Struthio camelus: one gene and its partner. The protein of the gene in region 1 interacts with the protein of each later gene in a pairwise test. Links are inferred from orthologs where the notes say so. Each region holds a gene or a part of one and is shown on either strand. Other genes may lie near its edges.

What was found. The genes of interacting proteins can lie anywhere in the genome.
Region 2: the proteins of EML1 (region 1) and ISG20L2 interact in binary tests that used the Homo sapiens proteins (3 or more experiments, as listed by UniProt). The two-hybrid records come from large-scale screens. The link is inferred for Struthio camelus from reciprocal best matches to the Homo sapiens genes EML1 and ISG20L2.

What each region holds. Positions count from the first base shown.
Region 1 is NC_090946.1:69,918,855-69,925,701, reverse strand, and holds the start of EML1 (echinoderm microtubule-associated protein-like 1), read right to left. Parts: upstream 3,002-6,847; 5' UTR 2,836-3,001; coding exon 2,769-2,835; intron 1-2,768. UniProt on the Homo sapiens protein: Modulates the assembly and organization of the microtubule cytoskeleton, and probably plays a role in regulating the orientation of the mitotic spindle and the orientation of the plane of cell division.
Region 2 is NC_090971.1:3,528,373-3,536,302, reverse strand, and holds the start of ISG20L2 (interferon-stimulated 20 kDa exonuclease-like 2), read right to left. Parts: upstream 3,013-7,930; 5' UTR 2,872-3,012; intron 2,091-2,871; exon of another isoform or gene 1,919-2,090; 5' UTR 1,838-1,918; coding exon 1,214-1,837; intron 746-1,213; coding exon 545-745; intron 1-544. Other genes in the region: METTL25B (methyltransferase-like protein 25B), read left to right, coding at 4,300-4,392, 4,468-4,767, 4,842-4,904, 4,990-5,133, 5,223-5,758, 5,839-6,334; MRPL24 (large ribosomal subunit protein uL24m), read right to left, coding at 6,915-7,051, 7,150-7,280, 7,386-7,489, 7,661-7,756, 7,867-7,930. UniProt on the Homo sapiens protein: 3'-> 5'-exoribonuclease involved in ribosome biogenesis in the processing of the 12S pre-rRNA. Displays a strong specificity for a 3'-end containing a free hydroxyl group.

The sequences.
Region 1 (6,847 bases):
TTTCTTCTCTCCCTTCTTTCACCATTCATCATGTTTTCATGCATTATAAGCTATGAAAGTCCTTTACTGGAAAAATCATGCAGACTATACCTGCATATGAAGGAGTAGAGAAAAGGAAAAAAATGACTCAAATTCCCCTCCTGAATCCGCCGTCCTTTCTAGAGAGAGAGGGAGGGTTGGGGTAAATTTGTCCCCGCACTTCTGCCCTACACTTCCTCTTCCTTCCCCCGCCAACAGGCTCATCTCCGTCCCTTCCAGCATCCTCTGCCCTCGCACGGCTGCCACCTGCCCAGCGCAAGGAGAAGGGACAGAGAAACAGGAGAAGCTGCAGCAGTCCTTGTGCCCAGTTAACAGCTTGCTTGCTGCCCTGAACCTGTGTTTTCACATGTGCAGCCTATAGGTTATCTGCAGTAATTCTTACAGGAGGGCAGGCTTTGCGTCCTGATCATTTCAAATATAATACATACAGACATTTTTGCCTTTGCATTTGTATTTATTGTTTCTTCACTCCAAGACAATTAAAAATTCCATTATGTCCTCACCTATAATACTAAAATATAAAAATTAGTATTCTGAAGTCACATTCCTCTTCAAATCACAATCACTTGCTTTCTCTATGCCTACCCTCCCCACAACTTCATCCCATCTTTCATACTGCCCATCATACTTGCCAGAGCTTTCCACCTCCCTGCAAAGCAATTTCCTTTTCCTCTTTCAACCTCAAAACCCTCACTGGTATCCCCCATCTGTACTTTTTTCCTCATGGGTCATGTGTGTCTGTGTGAGATATCTGATCACCTCTAGGCAGTATTCAAAGGCCCAATTCTCTTCTTCTTATTCATCTCATACAATTTAGCCTCTCTGAAGGCTAACTCTTGAAAGGCTTCTGAATCAAACAACTTTCTTTCATAAATACAGAATAATACAAGTTCACAACATTCTCTCGAGCTTACTAGCTATGACTGCATGACTTAACTACTCAAGCGATCTCTTCAGTGCTACATTCTAGAACATAATACTCAAGGATTAACTAAGATTTTAGAACCTATGTAGGTACGACATAAATATATACTGCACTTTTACATCATGCATAATGCTGTGTTCAGACTTACAAAAATCAAGATAAGTAACAGTTCTCAGACACAAGATACTCTGTTTATTCAAACTACTCAGAAAGAGTGTTGTTACTCCCACTGTTCCCAGATGCGTACTACTATCACGAATACTGCAAAAGCAAAACCTAAAGATTTTGGTAGGAAGACAGCTTGCTTAAAAACTGATTAGAGTATAAACTTTGAAATAAATTGCTACATGTTTCCTTTTTAAAAGTACTTGCAGTAAAATATTTGTTAAGTTTAGGCAAAACAGGCATCTGGTATTAGTGTACAGCCCCCGTGCATAGTCATAGTTTTCTTTTTCAAAGAGCTCTGAAAATACTGCATCACACCACAATGCACAGCTCACACGCAGTATTCCTCCTGTTCTGAAAAATCACTCCCACAATCTCAAGGTCCACAAGTATTTGAATTTTCTGTTAACCATAACCCACATCACAAAGAAAATCATGTAAAATTTATCATCTTCATTTTTTTTTTCCAAGAGGAGAGGCAGCTATGTTGATGCAGTTGCTGTCATAAAGCAATTTAATATTAACCTGACTCCAGCTGTTCAGATAGCAGTGGAAAGCTGGACCACTACTAAAAACTGGAGGAAAAAGAGATGCACGAATTCATTTTTATGAAACATTACAAACGCTCACAATGTTGCTGCTAAAAGCAAAAATCCCAAAATACCTCATTTTGATTCTAAAGTTTGTATTGAAGAACTCTGTATTTTTAGGATGCCGGATGTCTTTCCCCCCCACATATCAGCTAATAAGGGCTAGCTAAATAATTCTACATCTTCTGCAAGGCAAGCCTGCAAATATTCCCTCTGATGATACTGGCAGACTCCTCACTTCCTTCTTCCTTTTCCACAGTGCCACCGCCAGCCAGCCTGCCTCTCACACTGCCATCACACCACCACCCGAATAAACCCTACTGAAACAAAAACAAAACAAAAAAAAACCAGACAGTAACTATAGACCAACTATCTTAATGCCAAAGAGGGTTTTTAACCCCAAGAACCCCTCGGGTGGGTTCCCCGCCAGGGAAGGAAGGCAGGGCAGGCGCAGCCAGCAGGGACACCTGCCCCGGCCGCGGCCCGGCGCGCGGGGCAGCAGCACACAGGCGCCCCGCGGGCCCGGGCGCCTCCGCGGCGCGACCCAGCCCCGCAGCGCGTCCTGTGCCTGGGTATGGGACAGGCGGGCGGAAGGACGGGCGGGCGGACGGACGGGGGGACAGATGTCACCCATGCAGCAGAGACACGCACAGCGGCGGCTGAGCGCTTCTGGTGGTACCAGCTCCTCACGGAGGCAGATACACACACACATGCATACGGGCGTGCGCGCGCGCGTGTACATGTAAATACGAACACATAACAATGAATACACAAATACGGATATGTAAAACACACCCACACACCACGCACATATGCCCGTGAACCCGGCGCACGAGAAGTTCCCGAGGGGAGACACCGGTCCCGCAAGGCCGGCGGGTCTCCCGCTGCACGGCGGGGGCGGGCGGCGCAGCTTCCTCCCCTCCCCTCGGCCTCCGCCTCCGCCTCCCCCCGAGCGGGCCGGGCCGGGCCGGGCCGGGCCGGGTGCGGCCGCCGGGAGCCGCCGCAGGCCCCGGCCGCCGACACCCGGGCAGCCGCGGCGGCGGCCTTACCGTTGCAGAAATGGAGCAGCGAGGAGGTGTCGTAGAGGCTGCTGTAGCTGGAGAAGCCGTCCTCCATCCTGCCGCGGCGCTCCCGGCCTGCCCCGGCGGCGGCGGCGGCTGCCTGGCTCCCGCTCTGCCACACACTGAGGCGCGGCGGCGGCGGCGGCGGGGGCCGGCGGCCTGCTGCCTGCCTCACTCAGTTGCCATGGCGACCCGCCCGCTCCGCCGCGCAGGCCGGGGGCAGGCCCGCGGGGGCGGGGCCGGGCCGGGCCGCACCGCGCCGCGCCGCGCAGCGCGGCCAGGCGGGCGGCGGCGGCGGCGGCTCCCTCTCGCCGCCTCCAGCCTCCGCCCGCGGCCCCGCGGCGGCTCCTCCCCTCCGGCGCGGCCCGGGCGGCGGGATGGCGCGGGAAGAGGGGGCGCGGAGGGCGGCGGAGAGCGGCGGAGGGCCGGGGCGGGCGGCGGCCCGGGTCCGCGCCGGCGGGCGGCGGCGGCGTGGCGCTGACACCCGGAGCGACATCGCTGCTCCTCGGGGATGAAACTGCCCTGGGAAAATAAGCGGTGCAGTCACGGGTGGGAACGCCTCCGAGCCCCGGGCCGAGAGGTCCTGCAGCGTTTTAGGGGGCGACCCGAGAGCCGCCCCGGCCCCCCCTTGCTGCGCGGGCGCTGCGCTCATTGCTGTTTTGGGTAAAGCCCCTCTCGCTCCCAGCGGAGCAACCGGCCGCCTGCGACTGCGGCCTGCGTCCTCCGCTGATGCCAGCGGTACTCCAGCTGGGTACAGGACATCGTTGTCAGGATAACACTGTAATTGATAGTCTCTTGCGGTAATTAAAAAGCAAGGCTACGTCTTCTAATTTGTTGTGACAATTTTATATAGTTTTAGTTATTTAGTTTGCAGACTGCCACCATCTGTACGCTTTTCTAATACATGAGAGCACAATAATTTGAACTGTTCTTAATATTTATCTAGGTACAGATACAACGTCTATTCATGCTGATGCCAGGGTACTGTGGTTAGGAACATTGTGAAATTATGTTACACCTCATTGGCTTCGATTTCTGTGCTGGAGATGCTGCAGTGTGCAATGAGTGAAAGCCACTGTTATTTCAAGCTCCTCTAGAGACACAAGGAAAATAACGTATTGCACCCCATAGCACCTTTCGCCTTGAAATATCCCAAAGCATTTAACAAGGTGTGTCTTCTGCTCTCAGTCCTTTACGGGGCTTTGTGCAGGGCGGTTGTCGTGTGGATCCGCTCACAGGCGTGAGCTGTGCACATGCGAGTCTTCTCACCAACTGCTAAAGCAGACTAGTGCTAACACAAAAATACACCATAATATTAGGCTGAGATATCAGTTCCGCATTAAAGCAGAGTGAAAAGTGCTCCCTCCTGAGTTGCCAGTGCCAATGTCGGTAGAGTTGAAGAGACTGCCAATGCAAGTGCCTGCCCAGCCTCATGGTGCTTAGCTTGTATCTGACTGAAACAACTGCGTGCTATAGCTGCAGGCTGTAGAAGAGAGAAGGTTTGTAGTAGCTTAATTATAAAACAAACAAACAAAAAGCATAGAAGGGAAAATGACTTTAAAAAGTACTAAGGACAATAGGCTTTTTTAATGCTTTAAATGAGCCCTGATTCTTTCTGCTCTTTAAAATTCACACGGATCCCTTAGGTTTTCTCATGACCTTGTCATGCCTAATCCATCAAACTCTTCCAAAATATGATATTGTTGTAAGAAAATGTACACACACACACACACACACACACACACAGGGTTTTTGGCAGACGTAGGTTTTTTGGCAGATATGTTACAATACTAGGAAAGCGCAGCTTAGTTTTAGCACAAATTGACAAGATTCTTCATTTTAAAACACTTTTGCCATGGTTAAGTTATTCTTTTTGAGCCTGAGAAGTGTTCTAATATGCTAATTCTCCATTTACTAGAGACAAATTTAACGCTATTGGTGTGGTGTCCATAAGATGTCAATGTTAGCTTACTCTATACCTCCTGAAGATGTCCAAATGTTGGTAAATAATTCTGTGAAACCTTGCCATGGTGTACGATTTTCATGCCAAAACAATTTCCATATATGTCTGTACGGTTTCCAATACTAAATGGATTAAATGAAAAAGCATATCCAAAAGTTTTATTTCTGCAGTAAAAAACTTACTGTCAATGAGATAATCTACAAGAAAGTCCTAATGCTACAAAAGTAAGAGAGGTAAGGACTCAATGACGTTTACAGTGCCTAGAAAAGCAGAAGAAAGGACAAAAAGGAGCAATACAGCTGCGTTACAGATAGGGGAAATTAAAAGCCACTTAGAAAATCAAACATAAACCTGCTATGAGCACAGCATTGTTAAAGGAAGGTAAAATATCTAAAACCTTAAAACTGATTCCCCAGTGAAATTTGTTGTGAAGGTGTTACCTCAGGGAAGCCTGTCAGCTCACCACGTTATGAAAATCGGCTCAGTGGTATGACATAAAATGATATCCGTTCAAGTCTCTAGTTGCTGTTATGGTGCCATTATCTTCTGAGGGCAAGGGTTAGAAAAGGAAAACAGTATCATAATTTAATTGCAATGATTTCTAGGCCTGTTACAATCTCATTACACTAAACTGCACTACAAACCACAAAATGAAAAAGAAATTATATCTAGCTGTGTGAACAATGGAACAATAGATCTGAAAGATTCACTAGTGCGTCTGTGGGAATTCTGGTGGTACAGCTAAACAATGAAAGCGTTTCTTTTTATAGTCCATTTTTTGGTAAACTATAACTTTAATCATTTGTATAGATCCAAGCCAGTGCATTGGAAAATGCGACATTATATGAAGGAGAGCGTATCATCCTGATGAGTATACTGGGATTGATGTATTTGGAGGGGATTTATTGTACACTTGTGCACGCTTATTGTTGAGCATGTTAAAAGTGTACGACATTACATGTTTGGAAGCTGTATTTTGTAACTAATTATTTCAGTTTCGTTTGTATTGAGTAGTGTAATACAAATAACTGTTTGGTAAGTGAAAACAAAAGAGCTTTTACACATCGCTAGCAGAATTTTCAGGATGTAATACTCCAATTTTAGGATGAAGAAAATTTGCTTTCACTCCCCATTTATATACTGTAGTCAACGAATTTTGATGTTTGAGGTATTCCTGTTCCTTTTTTATTTCTATTTCTTTTGCATTACTAATAAATATCAAAACTATACTGTAGTGGTTTCGGAAGTATTGTAATTCATAACTCTCAACTGCATAGAATGGTATACTATTATAGTATGATGTTATAGCTGAAGTATACTCTCAGATCAAGATCAACTTGTCACAGACACAATGTCATCATGAAACAGAAACAATGACCCTTTTAAAACCCGCTAAAATGATGGAAACTGATTATACATTTTATTCCTATGTTGTTTGCAATCATGCTGAGAGAAAAAGCCCAGTGCAAGCACGTTCCAGCTGGTGGGTAGAGAAGAGCTTCTGAAGAGTGACTCTTCTAGGTCGCTCATTTGGCACTATCACTGGACAGCGTCAGGCTCTTTTCACCATTTGGTGATTGCCTCGACAGTCTACCTTAATGCTACTCATGCACGAAGTCACATCTTGGTCTGGGCAGGAAGCCATTGCCGTGGGAGCTCGTTGAGGAAGAAGGTGGCCCTTGGTAAGAGAGTGAGGTTGGCATTTGTTTCGCAGTGGCAAAGCCACCGTGCAGAAATACCAATGGAGTTAGGATTTATTGGACCCTCTGCGGAATGGAGAAGAAGCAAATGCTCAATCCGCCACAGAGGCTGAAGGGTTTTTCTTTCAGGTTAGCCTACTGCATGTCCGCAGACCAAATCGGCAAAGCTGGGACTGCGGCTGCTCACGCTAAACCTATTTTGTAAGCAGAGCAAACTTCACCCTGCAAAGCGTCTAGCACCATCATCTGCAAACGCTGGTTTCACTCAAATTTATCAAGGCATGGAATTATAGCATCTATTTTACTGCCAATAACTTTTAAAGATCCCCTCAAGCTCTTTAGAAATCATTTGATAGACCACATTCACTGCAACATGGTTAAAGGGAGCTGAATCCAGTTCTGTA
Region 2 (7,930 bases), on another chromosome or scaffold:
CAGGCAGAGCAGGGCAAAGCCTCACCAACTCAACCTGCCTGATAGCGGGCTGCTCTGAGGGGCTCAGGATCACTGCACCTGCTCCCGTGGGCTGCTTTTCAGGGAAGGGGAAACTGAGGCACAAGGCAGGGGCCTGCCTTGCCCCAGGACCATCAGGAGTGACTGAAGGTTAATCCCTGAACCTTCCTCAGGAAGCAAAGCACCTCCAAGCACTCTGATTACAGCCCAGCCAGTGCAAAGAAAGAGGGCTGGACCTTTCCGCACTCCTGTCGTGCCCCTGCCTGCTGCGACACCGCCAGGCCTTGCTGCTCCCTGTGGCACAGGCTCGATCCTGCCCTCCCACAACAGCATTCCTCCCAGCTCTCCAAGGGAGGTTTCGGGAGTTTCTCGCTACGGCAGAAGCTTCGCAGCGGCCCCCTGTGGCGGCTACTGAAATCGGGGAGGAACCTTCCCAGCACGGGGCGAGCGGGGAGCCGGCTGGCACGGGGTGAGCTGGGACACCCCAGCGTCAGGCCCGGTAGCCGCCGCCACCACCGTCGGGTACCTGAATGTCTTTGTGCAGCAGCTGCTTGGCGAGGCGCTTCAGGGAGATCGACACGTTCTCGGGAAAGCCGCCCTTACGGTTCAGCAAGGGGATTTTGGACGTGTCCCGGGTGAGCGATTTGGGGTGGAAATACTTGAGCGCCTTGAAGTCGTTGCAGATGGCGTGGCCAACCACAATCTTCCCGGAGAGGATTTTCAGGATCTGAGAAGGAAGGAGAACAGGGGGTTATGGCAGAACTGCCGCAGCCCGGATCACACAGGCACCGGAGGGACCTGCCAGACCCCAACACGCTGCGCTGCGGCCGTGTAAGAGATCCTTACCTTCGGTCACGCTCTGCGGGGAGTCACTGCTCCTCGGCAGAGCATGACACCGGCCCCACGCACTGGGAGCTCCAGTGAGAAACCCACGCGCTTACTTTAAGCCACAAAGAGGTCAGCGCTATGACGTGGGACTGAACGGGAGCAGCCGAAGCGCGCGGAGATGCTCCCTCTGCTGCAGAGGTGAGATCCGCAGCAGACGGGCGCGCAGGCAGCCCTCGCCTGAGCGGCCGAGTCCCCCACAGCCCCACAGACCTCCAAACAGCCCCGAGAGCCCCATGAGACGGGGAGGACCCCCCACCCCAGACCGTGCCACCCCTCGTCACGCAGCTCGGCGCCCCTGGGAGCGCACCTCTCGCTGGGCTTTGCTGAACGGGACGGCATTCACCATGTGATGACGCTTGATGCCGCTCCAGCGGGTGCGGTAGTCCACGATGGGGTTGGCCGGGCGGATGTACTGGTCGTACATGACGTCGCCGTCGTAGCCGATGATGCTGCACCGGGCCAGGTCGCTGATGCGCCCGCCGGGCCCCGTGCCCACCATCTCACAGTCAATGGCCACCAGTTTGCTAGGCACAGCGGGGAGGAGAGGGGTACTTTTCTTTCCCTTAACTGAGGGACACAGAGCTTGCTTTGTTTCTGGGGGAAAACCTGTCCTTTTGGAGCTCGTGGAGTTGTTCTGCGCGGCTGGGCTGGGCTGGGGATTATTCACTTTGGGGCATGTTTTGGACCTGTCCCTCCTGGCCACATCTGCAGCCTGCTGTTTTTTGGCGTTCCTGCCCCAGGAACCCGACTTCTTCTGTGAGCCTTTCCCTGCCTGCTGCAGGGCCGGCGGCAGCTGCTTTTGCTTCAGCACCCCCTTCCTCTCCAGGATCCGGCGCCGTTTCAGAAAGTTCTTGTGCTTTCGGTTGCCAGCCGACCCCTTCTTGGAGGGCTCCGAGAGGCCAAAGCTCACATTGAGGATCAAATCCGACATGGCTGGGCTCCAGCGGGAGGACGTGCACGTGGGGACGCGGAGGAGCGGGGATCCCCGCGCCGGCCTCGCAGCCGGTCCTGCCTGCAGCACAGAGAGCGGGAGCTCGGCATCCCCGTCCCCAGGCCGCCTCTGAGCTCGCCGCAGGCGCCCGGGGAAACCGCCAGAAACGGATGTTTCTCGCTCAGCTCCGCGGCAAATCCCTCCAGGAGGGCGAAATGCCCTTGCCCACTCTGATAGGGCCCCCCACCCTGACATGGGCCCCCTCCCCCAAAGGACTCACCCCCAAACTGGCCCCTAAACCCCCCACAGTACCCACCCTGCTTTCTCCACCCCAAAAAGAACCCCCCCCAAAGCACTCACCCCAAAACCGGCTCCCAAACCCCCCACAGCACCCATCCCACCCTCTCCACCCAAAAGGGACCCCCTCTCCCCAAAGGACTCACCCCAAAACCGGTCCTCACCCCCCATAACACCCAACCCTCCCTCGCCCCCCCCAAAGGACTCACCCTAAAACCAGCCCCCAAGCCCCCCACAGCACCCATCCCGCCCTCCCCACCCCAAAAGGCACCCCCTCCCCCAAAGGACTCACCCCAAAACCAGCTCTCAACCCCCCACAGCGCCCACCACCCCAAAACCGGCCCCCAAACCCCCCACAGCGCCCACCCCGCCCTCCCCACCCCAAAAGGCGCCCCCTCCCCCAAAGGACTCACCCCAAAACCAGCCCTCAACCCCCCACAGCGCCCACCACCCCAAAACCGGCCCCCAAACCCCCCACAGCGCCCACCCCGCCCTCCCCACCCCAGAAGAGGCCCCCTCCTCCCAAAGGACTCACCCTAAAACGGGCCCCCAACCCCCCACAGCACCCACCACCTCAAAACCGGCCCCCAAACCCCTACAGGGCCCACCCGGCCCTCCCCCCCACAAGGACTCACCCCCAGACCGGCCCCCACGCCCCCTCTCAGCCCCCTCCCCACCCCAAAATGACCTCCCCTCCCCCCCCAAAGACCCCCCGCCCCCCGGCGCCGCGGGCCCACCCGGAAGCGGAAGCCGCCGCGGCCTCTCCCGGCCGAGGGCAACACGCGCGAGCCGGCGCGGAGAGACGCGCACGCTGCTGCCCCCAACAACCAACCCCCCACCCCCCCCCCGCGCGCATGCGCGCGAGCCCCGCGCCGGGCGGAAGTGCCGCCCTGCGCCTGCGCCCGCGGCAGCAACCTCAGTTGGCGCATGCTCAGAGAGCGCGCGGCGTGTCGCGCGGGGAGGGGGCGGTGCGCAGGCGCAGCGCTGAGGCGGGAACCATAGAGGGGCCAGGTGGTGAGCGGGCGCGGCGGGTGGCGGGGCGCTCTAGCCCGCCGGCGGGCGGGTTGGGGGGAGGTAGGGCCGGGTGACGAAGGGGGCTCAACCCGCGCTGCTGACATCACAGGTGATGTCGTGGCGGTGGCAGGCCCCGGCGTGATGTCACAGCTCTTTGGGGAGGAGGGGGTGGCTTGGGCTGCAGCGTGATGCCATGGTGCCTGTGAGTCATGGCCCCTGGGATATCATGGCCTCTGTGATGTCACAATGCCTGTGACGTCATGGGCCCTGTGATATCATGGTGCCTGTGATGTCATAGGCCCTGTGATGTCACAGTGTCTGTGATGCCATCAGCCCTGTGATGTCATGGGCCTATGATATCATGGTCCCTGTGATATCATGGCCTCTGTGATGTCATGGCCCCTGTGATGTTGTGGTGCCTGTGATGTCACAGTGCCTGTTATATCATAGCCTCTGTGACATCATGGTCCCTGTGATGTCACAGTCCCTGTGATGTCACAGTGCCTGTTATATCATGGCCTCCGTGATGTCATGGCCCCTGTGATGTTGTGGTGCCTGTGATGTCACAGTGCCTGTTATAGCATAGCCTCTGTGATATCATGGTCCCTGTGATGTCGTGGTGTCTGTGATGTCACAGTGCCTGTTATAGCATAGCCTCTGTGATATCATGGTCCCTGTGATGTCGTGGTGTCTGTGATGTCACAGTGCCTGTTATAGCATAGCCTCTGTGATATCATGGTCCCTGTGATGTCGTGGTGTCTGTGATGTCACAGTGCCTGTTATAGCATAGCCTCTGTGACATCATGGCCCCTGTGATGTCATGATGCCTGTGATGTCACAATGCCTGTTATAGCATAGCCTCTGTGACATCATGGCCTCTGTGACATCATGGCCCCTGTGATGTCACAGTGCCTGTTATATCATGCCCCCTGTGATGTCATGCCCCCTGTGATGTCATGACCCCTGTGATGTCACAGTGCCTGTTATATCATGGCCTCTGTGACGTCGTGGCGCCTGTGATGTCACGGTGCCTGTGACGTCGCGGCCCCCGTGATGTCACGGCCTTGCCAAGGGGGGCTGCGTCACGGCCCCCTGCCATCGCCTCGCCAGGTGACGGTCGCGCCGGGAGGCCGCGGCGAGGGGCAGCCGCCATGGCGGGGCCCCTGCGGCGGGAGCAGCAGCGGGCGGCCAGCATCGTCCGCGTCCTGGCGCTCTACCGGCCCCTGCTCGACGCCTACGTCATCGTGAGTGTCCCCGTCGCCGCCGCCGCCACCGCCGCCGCCGCCGCCGCCCCTCACCGCTGCCCCTGCCGCCCGCAGGAGTTTTTCACCGAGGACCTGTGGGCCCGGCTGCCGCCCTCCTGGCAGGCCGCGCTGGCCGACGTGCCGGCGCCGCGCCTGGCCGCCGCGCTGCTGCAGCCCGCCGCCACCACCGTCACCGCCGTCTGGCCGCTCTCCCTGCTGGCCTTCAAGGCGACGGCCCAGGCGCTGGCCTTCCCCCGCCACCACCACCGCCGCCGCCATCGCCGCCGCCTGCCCTGCCAGAGCGCCGCGCTGCCCCCGCTGCTCCGCAAGCACGTCAAGCCCAAAAAGCAGCACGAGATCCGGCGCCTGGGCCAGGTGGGCAGCGGCCGGCGGCCGCGGCACCGGCCGTGGAGCGGCCCCCGACCCTCCTCTTCCTCCCCCGGCCGCAGGTGGTGAAGCGGCTGAGCCAGGCCGCCGGCTGCGACCGCGTGGTGGACGTGGGCTCGGGGCAGGTAGGACCAGGCGGCGGGGACGGCGGCGCGGTGACGACGGAAGCAGCGGTGTCGCCGACCGCCGCGTCCGTCCCCCGACTCGCAGGGCCACCTCTCCCGCTTCCTGGCCTTCGGCCTCGGCTTGCCCGTCACCGCCGTGGAGGGTGACGGCCGCCTGGTCGAGGCGGCCGAGCGTTTCGACCGGGAGCTGCTGCGGGAGCTGCGGAAAGCCCAGGCGCGCGGCGCCCAGGTGAGGGCGAGCCGGCAGCGGGGACGGGGTCCGTCCCGAACGTCCCCCCGCTCCCCGCCACCGCCCACCGTAACCCACCCGCCGCCCAGGTGCCTCTCTTCCCGCGGGGACCGCGCCACGTAGCCGGCCGCCTGGACCCCCGAGCGCCGTGGCTCGACGAGCTGCTGCCCCCGGAGCCGGGACCGCCCGCCGGCCCCCCGAACCCGTTGGGGTCTCGGGGCCCCGAACGGGTGCTGCTCACGGGGCTGCACGCCTGCGGCGACCTCAGCGTGGCCTTGCTCCGCCACTTCGCCCGCAGCCCCCACGTGGCCGCCCTGACCTCGGTGGCTTGCTGCTACATGAAGCTCTCCACCCGCCCGGCGTCCCCCGCCACCTCCCCGGCTCTCGGCTACCCGCTGAGCGCCTGGGTGGCGGGGCTGCCGGGCCACGCGCTCTCCTACAAGGCGCGCGAAGCGGCCTGCCACGCGCTGGAGGACTACGCCGGGCGGCTGCGGGCCGACAGCGGCGCCCTGCGGACCCACTGCTACCGGGCCGTGCTGGAGACCCTCATCCGGGCGGCCGACCCCAGCAAGAAGCGCCTGGCGGTGCAGACGGTGAACAAGGCGCACGCGCTGAGCTTCCCCGAGTGAGCGCGGGCATCCCTCCCTCCCTCCCGCCCCGAAACGGGCCCATTCGGCCCCGGCTTGACCCGCTTCGTCCCCGCAGGTACGCCCAGCTGGGGCTGCCCCGCGTGGGGCTTGACCCGGCCGCCTTCCAGCTGGACTCGGAGGCCGTACGGGCCATGCTGCGGCAGGGGCAGAGGGTGGTGGCCTTCTTCAGCCTGGCGCTGCTGCTGGCGCCGCTGGTGGAGACCCTCATCCTGCTCGACCGCTTGCTCTACCTGCGAGAGCAAGGTGGGTGCCGGGGCTGCAGGGTGCGGGCAGGGGTGCTGCCACCACCGACCCTGCCTCTCCCCGCAGGTTTCCAGTGCGCCCTGATCCCCCTCTTTGACCCTCGGTTCTCCCCGCGCAACCTGGTGCTGGTGGCTGCCAAGTGCCCCCTGGGCCCGGTGCTGTCGGCCCTGGATGAGGACAGCGGCGACGACGAGGACAGCGGCGACGACGAGGACAGCGGCGACGACGAGGACGTGGCCCCACCGGGAGGATCACCACCAAGCTGCCCCCAGGCAGAGCCGTCCACGGAGGAGCAAAGCCAGGGCTGAGCTGCACCACAGCTGCCAGGAAAGGCCGAGCGTCCCCGTTTTGGGTCTGGAACCGCACCCCGGAGCGCAGCAGGCGGGACGCTGGCGCGTCCCACCTCGGCGTGCCACCGTCCCCATCACCACGGGAGCGCTTGCGCCCTGCGCCGGCTCCCTCGCGGCCTCGCGAGGTTATTTCGCAGCGCTGTGACCCGCTCGGACTGCAGGGGAACGCCATGCCCCAAAAGCCGTCACCCTCCTCCCGCGTGCACGGGGAGGGGAGGCGAAGGCTGGTGGGGGACAAGGGCTGCAAGGTGCAGCTCGGACCTCGTCTTTGTTACAATAAAGGCTGGTTTTCTACAGCACATGGCTCAGACGGAGCGAACAGGGAGGGAGCGTGGGCTGAGTGCTGTGGGCAGGAGGACCAGGCTTGGGATACCTGGGACTCCTGCCCTCTCCTAGCTTGGCTGGAAGTGGTCTCAAAACCACCGCATACTGCAGCCGTGTAAAAGAAGGGATGTTTTTATTGCAAGCTGCTGCCCAGGGGCCCAGACCACAGCCCCGGCGCGCGTTTCGCTTTTCCTCCCGTCCCCAACCAGGGCTGTTAATACCAGTAGGATTTCTTGGCCCTGCGCGTCTCCACGATGCCCATCGCATCCATGATCTCCTCCTCAAAGGTCTTCAGGGACGGCACGTACGTCTTGTCCAGCGCGTCTTCCACAGACGTGTCCTTCGGACCGTCTGCTCACAGCGAAGGGGACGGCGCTGAGTGCCTCGGAGTCCCTCGGTGAGAGGGAGCCGGCATCATGCCGAGCCGCGAGCCCCCTCTCACCCCTCACCTATCCACTGCTCGGGGACGATGCCATCCCGGCGGTGTCGCAGGGGCGTGGGGATGATCCGGCCGCTGCGCAGGGAGACGCGGACCCGCTCGCCCTCCTCCGTGTACCGCCACTCCACCTCCGTCGGCTTCCTGGCATGGGAGAGCGCGGAGATCTGTGCCGGGACGCAGCCACGGCTCCCTCACCCACCCGGCCCCGCAGCACGGAGGGTGTCACGGCTCTGCCGCGGTGGTTACCTGTCTTCGGGGTCCACCAGGGAGATCTGGCTGAGCAGCAGGGGCGCTTCGCTGGCGATGTACGTCGCAGGGTACTTGGCCATTCTGTTGATGTAGCGGTAATGCTGGGGGACGGTGACAGTGGTTATGGACACCCTGCGCAGCCCCGTGCCCACCCAGGCACCCCAAAACGCGCAGGCGTCACTCTGCCCGGACGAGCATGGAGCCCGGGCATGGAGCGTACGGCAGCCGGGACCTCGCCTTACGCTGGGGGTGCTCCCGTGTTCAAACCTCACCGTATTCAAGCCTTCCACAACAACCCAGTTGCGGGCTCGCACCACCTGCGTCACCATCGCCTGCTTTCCTGCGTCCTTCCCGGTCAGGACTTGGACCTGGCACCGAGAAGAGCAGGTCAGAGGCGGCAGGGACAGCTCCCAGCCAAGGGCCCCAGCTCGGGCCACCTCCTCAAGGAGCCTCGGGCGGACGCCGCTGGGTGACTCACCGTGTCACCCCGAAACACCTTCCAGTCTTCCTTGCTGATGGGCTCCACGAAGATCTTCTTGCGC